Linked DNA regions of Schizosaccharomyces pombe. The protein of the gene in region 2 interacts with the protein of the main gene of each other region in a biochemical or structural test. Each region holds a gene or a part of one and is shown on either strand. Other genes may lie near its edges. The genes, in order: nda3 and klp2.

What was found.
Region 1: the proteins of klp2 (region 2) and nda3 form a complex in vitro, tested with the Schizosaccharomyces pombe proteins (one study listed by BioGRID).

The regions. Positions count from the first base shown.
Region 1 is NC_003423.3:3,963,292-3,967,560, forward strand, and holds nda3 (tubulin beta Nda3), read right to left. Parts: upstream 2,683-4,269; 5' UTR 2,634-2,682; coding exon 2,622-2,633; intron 2,586-2,621; coding exon 2,536-2,585; intron 2,485-2,535; coding exon 2,443-2,484; intron 2,402-2,442; coding exon 2,347-2,401; intron 2,258-2,346; coding exon 1,372-2,257; intron 1,287-1,371; coding exon 985-1,286; 3' UTR 801-984; downstream 1-800. Other genes in the region: protein Sdh8, read right to left, coding at 1-32, 103-324; GTPase Grn1, read right to left, coding at 3,409-4,269. UniProt on the Schizosaccharomyces pombe protein: Tubulin is the major constituent of microtubules, a cylinder consisting of laterally associated linear protofilaments composed of alpha- and beta-tubulin heterodimers.
Region 2 is NC_003424.3:1,720,046-1,725,670, reverse strand, and holds klp2 (kinesin-14 family minus-end directed microtubule motor Klp2), read right to left. Parts: upstream 3,718-5,625; 5' UTR 3,677-3,717; coding exon 3,647-3,676; exon of another isoform or gene 3,602-3,646; coding exon 1,178-3,601; 3' UTR 769-1,177; downstream 1-768. Other genes in the region: gamma-glutamyltranspeptidase Ggt1, read right to left, coding at 4,283-5,625. UniProt on the Schizosaccharomyces pombe protein: Minus end-directed microtubule (MT) motor that is involved in spindle microtubule shortening, kinetochore capture, and polarization of cytoplasmic microtubules. During mitosis, promotes spindle microtubule shortening by depolymerization.

The DNA.
Region 1 (4,269 bases), on a different chromosome or scaffold from region 2:
GGTTCAGACTTTGGTCCTCCTATCTCTCCAGTCTAGATAAAATATGTTAGCGTCAATTCGAAGCATACTTTCAATATGTAATAATATTAATTAATAATGTACCTTTGGATTAACATCACCCTCAAAATCTTTATGTTTTTCACGGCGCATAACATCCACAGGACGTTTACTTGATTCTTTTTGTAATCTATCCCATTCTTCTTGCTGCTCTTTTGGAAGGCGAGGAGGTGTAGGCCTTTTCAGGTTTCCAGCATCATGCAAACATCTTGTTAAAGCTTTATTGTAATTTTTAAGAATGACAGCACGTAAATTACGATTAAACATTGTTTTGGTGCGATTGCAATGTAGTAAATAAAGTTCCTAATATACTTTTATATGAGTAAATTTCAATTTCGGCTTTTCGAAGCCACTCAATATTTCTCGTCGTTGACAAAGGCGAATTTAGAAAGTGGCGGATTGTTATACTGGTGGACGTTTATAAGTACTGGTATATCAAACGAGTTTACTTTCACAAAACGCAACATAAATACGATACGTAGCAGTAGGTGATAATTTAACTAAATTAATAGTTTATTGAATTTACAAATCTCACTGCATCTTTTGGTTCTACTTTTGGGAATTGACACTTAAGTATTAGACTTGCTTTATACATTTACTTTGTAATAGTCAAATATCTAAGCATATATTAGGGAATAGTAAATAGCTTTAATTCGTACGGTTTGGACTTACAAAAGTACTTTACAGACTTACTCGTGTTTATAGTACATTTCCACCTTGGTAGCCAGGCTAAAGCTATATTTAGAGTGTAAGGAGCATTTCAAAGCTATGAAAAAAAGTAAAGAGCGTTTAGCACAGACGATGCTTGGAATCCATATGCATCGGAGTAAAATAAAGCATTTCAATGAATGTAGGAAAAAAGGAACGTAGATAAACACTATTTGAAAATATATGGCACACTTGGATTATAAAAAGGGTTATAAGGGTTTAATACTCGAGAGGCTCCTTCTCTTCTTCAATTTCATAATCTTCATCACCCTCATCGATACCAGCCTCCTGGTATTGTTGATATTCGCTAACCAAGTCATTCATATTAGATTCAGCCTCAGTAAACTCCATTTCGTCCATGCCTTCACCAGTATACCAATGCAAAAAGGCTTTTCTTCTAAACATTGCAGAAAACTGATCACCCAAACGACGGAAAATTTCTTGGATAGAAGTACTGTTACCAATAAAAGTTGCAGACATCTTGAGATCCTTAGGAGGAACGGAACAAACAGCTTTGAGGACTATTTCGAGGTTAGCAGATGAGCATAAACAAGTAGAAAAAATAAACTAAATATACAAACGACGTTTTAAACCAAGTAAACATACCATTATCGGGAATCCACTCAACGAAATATGCTGAATTCTTAGTTTGAACAGAGCGAATTTGCTCGTCGACTTCTTTCATTGAGACTTTACCACGGAAAAGAGCGGCAACTGTTAAGTAACGGCCATGGCGAGGATCAGCGGCGACCATCATATTATTAGCATCAAACATTTGTTGAGTAAGCTCGGGCACAGAAACAGCTTGAAATGAGCTTGAACCGATGGCGGCAAGAGGAGCAAATCCTACCATGAAAAAGTGTAAACGAGGGAAGGGAACCATATTAACAGCTAATTTACGCAAGTCAGAGTTCAATTCACCAGGGAATCGGAAAGATGTGGTTACACCAGCCATTACAGCAGAGACAAGATGGTTCAAGTCATCGTATGAAGGACTCTTGATTTTCAACGTGTTAGCGAAAATTGAAGAAAGAGCCTCATTATCAATGCAAAATGTTTCGTCAGAGTTCTCTACCAATTGATGCATAGAAAGAGTAGCATTGTAAGGTTCCACAACGGTATCAGAGCTTTTAGGAGCAGGAGCAACGGAGAAGGTAGCCATCATACGGTCCGGATATTCCTCGCGAATCTTCGAAAGTAAAAGAGTACCCATACCAGATCCAGTACCACCACCCAAAGAGTGAGTTAATTGGAAACCTTGTAAAGCATCACATGCTTCAGCTTCACGGCGAACAACGTCCAAAACAGCATCGGCCAATTCAGCACCTTCAGTGTAATGGCCTTTAGCCCAAATATTTCCGGCACCAGATTGTCCATAAATAATATTGTCCGGGCGGAAAAGATTTCCAAACTTTCCTGACTTCACGGCATCCATAGTACCGGGCTCTAAATCAACAAGGACTGCGCGGGGAACATACTTTCCACCAGCGGCCTACAGTCGTCAGTACTAAATAAACAAAAAAAAATTTTTTCAAAAAGTTTTAAGCAACCGAACACTTGTAAGAAAGCAAAAAAACCTACCTCGTTAAAATAAACGTTCAATCGCTCGTGTTGTGCCTCAGAAGTTCCATGATATCTACGTAAAAGTCAGTAAAAAAACAAGCAAAATAGACCTACATTCCAGCTGAATCCAAACCATGCTCATCAGCAATGGTAGACCTTCCAAGCGTTAGTTGAGAGAAACGTTATAACAAAGTAGATTTTGCTTACCAAAAGGCCGCACCGACTTGGTTTCCGCATTGACCAGCTTGAATATGAACCTATTGATTAGCTTTGAATATTAAAATAGCTCGTACAATCTCACGCATCTAGACTAATTTATGGTGGTTTGTTTTGATGATCAGTTTGGTGGTAGGTGAGTTTCGTTAGGAGGAACGGATTGAGAATACCAAAAGTACCAAATCGTTTTTATACGTTTCAGAAATTCTAAAAACACAGTTTATTGCAGTTATTTACTAGTAGGCTTTTAAAAAAAATTTTTGTGTATTTATTAGCCGATTGTTAATTGAAAAGAATCAAGTCTTAAATCATTGCTTATTAAATAGTTTACTTCTTTTATATACAAGCTTTTTTTCTTTTCTTTGGTAATGTATGTAACTTTATTTATTCTTTAGTTTATATACATAATTATTAACTGCTAAACAGATTAATTTGATATTATGCCATATTCAGTAGTAGCGCAAAATAGTATGGTTAGAATTGTTTGTGTTTATCCTATCAATTGATATAAAAATGAAATGAAACTTATAACTGCACGTTAGTATCAATGTCATTTTCCGTACATATTCAATTGACTTTATTTAAGCCAGCATGCATTGATTTAATAATTTCCCGTATTAGCGAACCTATTACTTAAAACTTCTCCCATATCAAACATTACTTTTACAAGTAAATGTAAAACAACACATTCAAGAATACGGCATATATGCAAAAAAAATTATTTATATATTAATTCAAAAAGTAATAGCTAGTAACCATCAACACCTAAAGATTTTTAAAACCCGAAGAAAAACCGCAACCGAAAACCAAATCCCAAAATATAAGCTCTAAGCAACAATAGCTTTTTTCGTAAGTTGAAAACTCTCAAAAATCATTAAGGTCAAATTCTTTGGCCCACTCAGTAACGATTTGAGTATCCTGAACTTCAGATGAGTTCTTTTCGTTTATAACCTCAGGCTCGGCCCACCATTCGATACGACCAGCATGCCAGTCATTAATGACAATATTGGCAGCAGCGTTAAGATTTGGAATTCCACCGCGACCTAGACGACCACGCTTACGAGCAATATTGACTAAAAAATCAGTAGCAGTGTCTATATCGGATGTATTCAATAGAGGAGGAAGCTCATATCTTTGAAACATTCTTTCCAATTGTCCTGGAACTCTGCTAAGGAATTGCAAAATGTAAGAAGCAACGGCAACGGGATCATCAACTTTGGTGGATGAAACAGCATTAAGCATTACAAGACGATACAAATCGTCTTTAGAATCACTAGAAGGAAAAACAATACCAGGACTATCGACCAAACGTAATTTGTTATCTAGCTTCACCTCTCGCAAAGAAGTAGTCATTCCGGCAACGTTTCCGGCAGGACAAGGTGCAGAACGACCATTCGCAGAACGGTTGACAAGAGCGTTAATAACAGATGATTTACCAACGTTGGGGTATCCAATTACACCGACTGTAAGAGAGCTTTTAAGCTTCTTCTTGGCTGAGTAAGACTTGAGTGATTTAAGAAGATTGGAGATAGTGGAACTAGCAGAAGCCGACTGGTGCTTTAAATTTGAGTTTCCAGATCCTGAAGCGGAACGCATAGGAATCGTAGGAAAGAAATTGCGGAGATAGGTAACCCACTTGTTGAGTACTTCTGATGGTACTAAGTCAATTTTGTTGATAACGAAAATAAGACGCTTTTCTTCAGCAGAAGATGCTAAAACTTGACG
Region 2 (5,625 bases):
ACGAGAACCTTCTTCGTGGCAATCGCTACCTCATCAAAAAAATTAAGTGGACTAACTAGTGCCCTCCCCTTACTGTTCGGTTAACATCGAATGCCAGAGAAAAATGGACAAGCGGGATGGTGCGATGGTGAAGGAAAAGGAAGCTCGAAGAAGGTTTGCAGTAATACGGTACTAAACCGTTTTAAGAAGCCTGTGGTTACATGATAAAAATGCTTAATGTTGCTCTCGTTATAATTCAGTATTTGATAAACAAATGGAAAAGAATTGGACTATTGGCAAGATATAGAAAAATGCCACCTCAGTATTTACTGAAAAGGGATAGAAGCATTCAAATGAAAGAGAAAAAAAGGAAATGTATTCAAGATTGGCAGTGGAAAATTTATGGAAATTCCTATAATCCCACTAAGTGGATTAAGTAGCAATTAAGAAACCGAAATTAGTACAATTATTAAAGAAAATAAAGTATAATCTGTTAATTTTAGCTTATTCTATATTTCTTGGGTCAATCTGAAGAACATTCCGAAAGGAATAAAATATACAGTGGGTAGTAGAATTTCTAATATTTTTATTATCAAGAGAGAATTAAAGGAACTGCCAAGTTTGAGAAAAAAAAAATAGCTAGTAATATTATATTTTTGGATACTTGATCTTTTCTCCTAAATGTAATTCATCTGTGAAATTTAATTGCTCACCTTTGCTTCATCCAAAAGTCACTTGGAACAATTTTTGTAGTCAGTTACTTTCTAAGATTAACTATACTTTTGAACATACTTTATGAGATATGACTTCATTTTGAGCGAATTATAAACCACCGTACTAAGTAAGTTGGAATGTCATTAGGGTCTAGTCATAAAAGAAAATATTTGCTCAATACTATTATAGAAAACATAAAATATAATGGTAAAATTTGAAAACATTCAAAGGAAAGAACACATATAACCTAAAGAGCGTATTCGAATATATAAAAAAAAAGAGTGAGTTGGAAATGAACGCTTACTTGTATGTATACGTCCATTAAAACGATAATAGTTCTGACTTGTGGTTCTTTATAGGCCCATAAAAATTATTTTCAAAGTATACAAAAGAGAGCAAACAGATCTGTATATTTTACAAAAACGGAAAAGACAGCTCTCCTTATAAACAACAATCCTCAAGCCATCCTGTTGGTGCTTTCCGTTCATTTTGTGACTTTGCGTGCTGTGCCAATTTGAGTATTATTTACCTTTGTTGCAAATCTCAAACTGCATAATGTTTCGGGAACATGCTGTTTTAGTGGGGAAATATTGACAAACATGAGAGTTTTACTATTTCCTCCCAACGAATATTGTAACAAATTAGTCAGCTTGGAATTTCGATACGGAATGTACGTTCCTTCCTTTCCACTTCCCAAAGCATGTATTACATCTCCTAAACAACTTAAACTTTTGTTGATTGCCTGCGTTTCCTTCAAACGTTCACCCACACTTTGGCTACTCGAAAGTCTTTCGGATCCAGCCAGATCAATCAAATTAAGCGTACTTCTGCATGTTTCACCTGTCGTAGAATTGCTTCCATTCAAGTGTAGCATAAAAACTGAATGCGATCTTGAGGAATGTTCATTAGCATTGGTAGCCGCAACAGAACGGTTCTTCGAAGCTTGATCTAACAACCAGGTTACCTGCTCAGGTGTGTCTAACGGTTCGCTGGTTATATTGGTAATAGTCGTCCTTCCGGCCTTCGTGTCATGATATATCTCCAGTTTTTTCTTTCCCTTCTCTTCTTCATTTCCGGAGGCTAAAAGGTCAATAATGGTTTCATTGTATATTTCTAGAAATTGTCCTTCCATCCGATATTCCCAACCTCGTTCTTTCAAAGAAGTAGAGCGATTGTATATCATTCTTACAGATGAAGGGATCATTCCTGTATTTGAAGACATCGTATGCGTCTTGCCTGAACCTGTTTGACCGTAAGCGAATATACAAACATTATATCCGTCCATAGCACTTTGAATTAACTGTGACAGTTCATTAAATACATCCTCATTAGTCGTTTCAGGGGAAAATACACGATCGAAATTAAAGGCATACTGTTTTATCCCGTTCCCTGTTAACGAAGACCCTGGGGCTTGAGCAACAATCTCTATAGTACTAGCTTCGGAATTTTGATCAGGAAAAGCTATTTGTGCTGATTCTCCATCGCCAAGGGGAGGTCGCACTCGACAAAAAACGCGTATGTTACCTTTAAGTTCTTGAATGGTATTATGGAGTTTTCTTCTCAGAGTTTCCTCAGCTATGAGTTTCTCAACTAAACCGTCTCTCTCAACATTGGCAGATTTTAAAATGCCTTCTAGTTCTATAATCTTATTTTTCATAGTATAAACATCTTCTTCAAGTGTTTTGATAGTGCTTTCTAAAGCCCGATTTGTAGATTCAAGCTTCTGAACGTTGGCACTTTGTTGGTCCAACGAAGATTTCAGATTTTCCTTAACAACTGTTTCAGAAGCAAGTTCTCTTTGTAATTGTTCAATCTGCTGTTTCAAAGAATTATTTTCTTCCTGAAGCGGTTGAATTGCAGATTGCAGTCTTTTTTTTTCTAGATCATGCTTATTTTGGACACGTTGCATAGCCAGCGAAGCGCCCTCCTGAACTTTCTTTAATAAAGAATCCTTTTCCTCTTGTAGTCTGGAAATTTTGAGTTCATTTTCTGAAGTAAGCTCTTTAATCTTGTGTGAAAAGTGTTCTTCGGCAGACTGCAATTCATTTTTGTACTCCATGATTAAACTATTTGCTTTTTGTTCAATATTGGAAGCAAAATCCTGTAATTCTGCTTGATGCTGAAGCTCAGCTGTCTCCATCACCCGAGCATGGTTCTCTTCCAACATGGCCATGCGCTGATGATTTTCACTTTTCATTGAGTTTAACATTATCTCCAAACTCTCCATACCCTTTTGAGAAACGATTTTATTAGCCTCCGCCTCAGCTTTTTCTCTCAGAGCCACTGAAAATTGTTCTTGTAACTCCGATGTACGACTCCTCTCGACTTCTAATGATTCTTCAAGCATAGCAATTCTCTGTTCGTAAAATTTGTAATTAGCTGGTCTTTTTGAGGGTGAAGGAATAACTTTAGCCGATAATTGAGCATAAGCCATTTCCATACTCCTCAACCGGTCTTCTGTAGTCCTTAAGGCGCTGGCATTAACAGACTTTTCATCATTATAAGATTCCATACTTTCATCTGACATACTTCTCACATCATCGCTACTATTTAAACTGGATGAAACAGCACTGGCAGGTCTACCAAAATGAGAAGAAGCAGACACTGACCGACTTGAAATGGGATGTGCAGACTTGGGCATCCTGGGATTAGAGGACGCGGTAAAAGGCCTGGCTTTTTTTGCAAGACTAGAAGATTTAACCGAGGCTAAGCTTCCTGGTGGTAACATCTTACTGGGAAATTTAGCAGGTTTCAGTTGGTTAACTTCATTTTGCAATGATAACCGAGGTTTCAGAATATTTGATGAAGATGAATTAGTTTTAATAGTCGGAGGAGGTATATTAGACGTAAATTCTTTAGCAATTTCTCGACTTTGCGACAAAGAACTCGAGGACTGAGGTAGATGCGACTATAAGGAAAAAAATTAATAAATTACACTTAAATTTGTTCTTACAGTTAAACTTTTATGTCCTTCTTCTTCCATACTTTCTCCTTTTCCCCAAAAACATGTGGGTATTGTAAGGTGTTAGAGAAGTTGAGTTTCATAAGCTTAAATCAAAAGTTCACTATTCAACAATTTGTATGGTGGTATTCCATGGACCACGAAGGTCAAAAGCAAATATCCGATATTATGTGAATCTTTAATTCAATTTAATGATTTAGTATTAATTAACACAGTAAAGTATTTTTAATTAGTAAAGGAATATTTGCCATTCGTACATCGAAAGAAATATTTTACTGTTTTACGTTTAAAGTATGAAGATATATTATGTTACGGTTAGAATAAATTCGAAAGTTAAATGTAATTGTTCTTCGTTTTGCTAAAACTTTCTAAATCTAGGAAAGAATGTAATCTATCTAACTAACGAAGGTCCAATCATCACCATCATGTGCACAAATATGTAGACAGTGATCATTCATACGTTTTATGCTTTATAATATTTTTCTCTCATCCCAGCCACAAGCTAAAGATCAGTAAAAAGCACATAAAGATTGAGAATAAGTTAATAAACCTGATAAATTAATAACAACAAATAAAGGAAAATTTTGTGAGCGTCTAAGGAGTTTTTTTTAATAATTTAGTGAAATTTTAATAGGCAGCAGCAACAGCCTGTTTTCGGCTATCACTTAAACCGTACAATGTGCCGTTGGTGCGGAAAACAGCTTGAATTTCACTGAAAGGATATTGAACGGGGATTAAATCCACTATATGACCAAACTTTTCTAAAGCTCTAAGAACTTCAATTTCAACAGTTTCATCGATATAGACGATATTAGGCATTAGCTGATGATGAAATCTAGGACTCTCAACAGATTCTAACAATGACTTGCCCCATTTATATTTTTTAATAATTGTGTCTAACACAGCTGTCACGATTCGGCTGCCACCGCTACCACCAAGAACCATTTCAACTTCACCATTATATACCAAAATCGTAGGCACCGCGGAGCTTTGTGGTCGCTTACCAGGGGCAATAAAGTTGTATGGCGATGGACTCAAACCGAAAGCATTCACTATTCCTGGAGAAGCAAAATCGTCCATGTGATCATTCAGTATAATACCCGTTTCAGGTTCCAAAAGTTGTGAACCAAACATCAAATTGATAGAAGCTGTGAGTCCGACTGCCATATTGTCTTTGTCGATAACGGAAAGATGAGTAGTGCCGTGATCGTTAGGGAAATCGTATTCGGCCTTGTAGTGAGTAAAATCAAAAGTCCTCTCGTTAGAAATATTATTGCGAATTTCATCAGCATATTCCAAAGAAAGTAACTGTTCAACATGATCTGTATTATTGTAAAAAGTTGGGTCTGCTAATACAGTCCGTCCAGCGGACATCCATTTCATTGTTTCAATTAGATGGTGCACGCCAATATCCGTCATTTCACAACCAAGGATAGAAGTACCTTCACTTAAATCTACTTTTGAAAGAACATTTAAACCTAAAATCAAAGCCTCTCCACTACAAGGGGATCCACAAGTAATAACCTCACGATCATAGAAGTTACCATAAATAGGTTCCTCCACAACAACTGAAAAATTGGCCATATCCTCCATGGTTAGTATACCTCCTTGCTGTTGAACAAACTTTACAAGCCTTTCTGCAATTTTTCCTGTGTAAAACACTTCAGGACCAAACTTAGCTATTTCTTCGAGGGTAGACGCTAGAGCAGGCCGATAAAACTTTTCTCCAACGTGTAAAAAAACACCTTCTGGAGCAAATATTTTAGACCAATCTGGATGAGTCTTGAAATAGGAAAACTCGGGTCGTCTGATGCGAGACGCAAGTTCCTTGGGCATTGGCATTCCATCTCTCATAAGACGTATGGTTGGTTCAAACAACTTATGCCAAGGTAGAGAGCCATACATTTTCCAAGCACGCTCGTAGCCAGCAATTTCACCAGGGACGGCAACGGAAAGACCACCTACCTGTG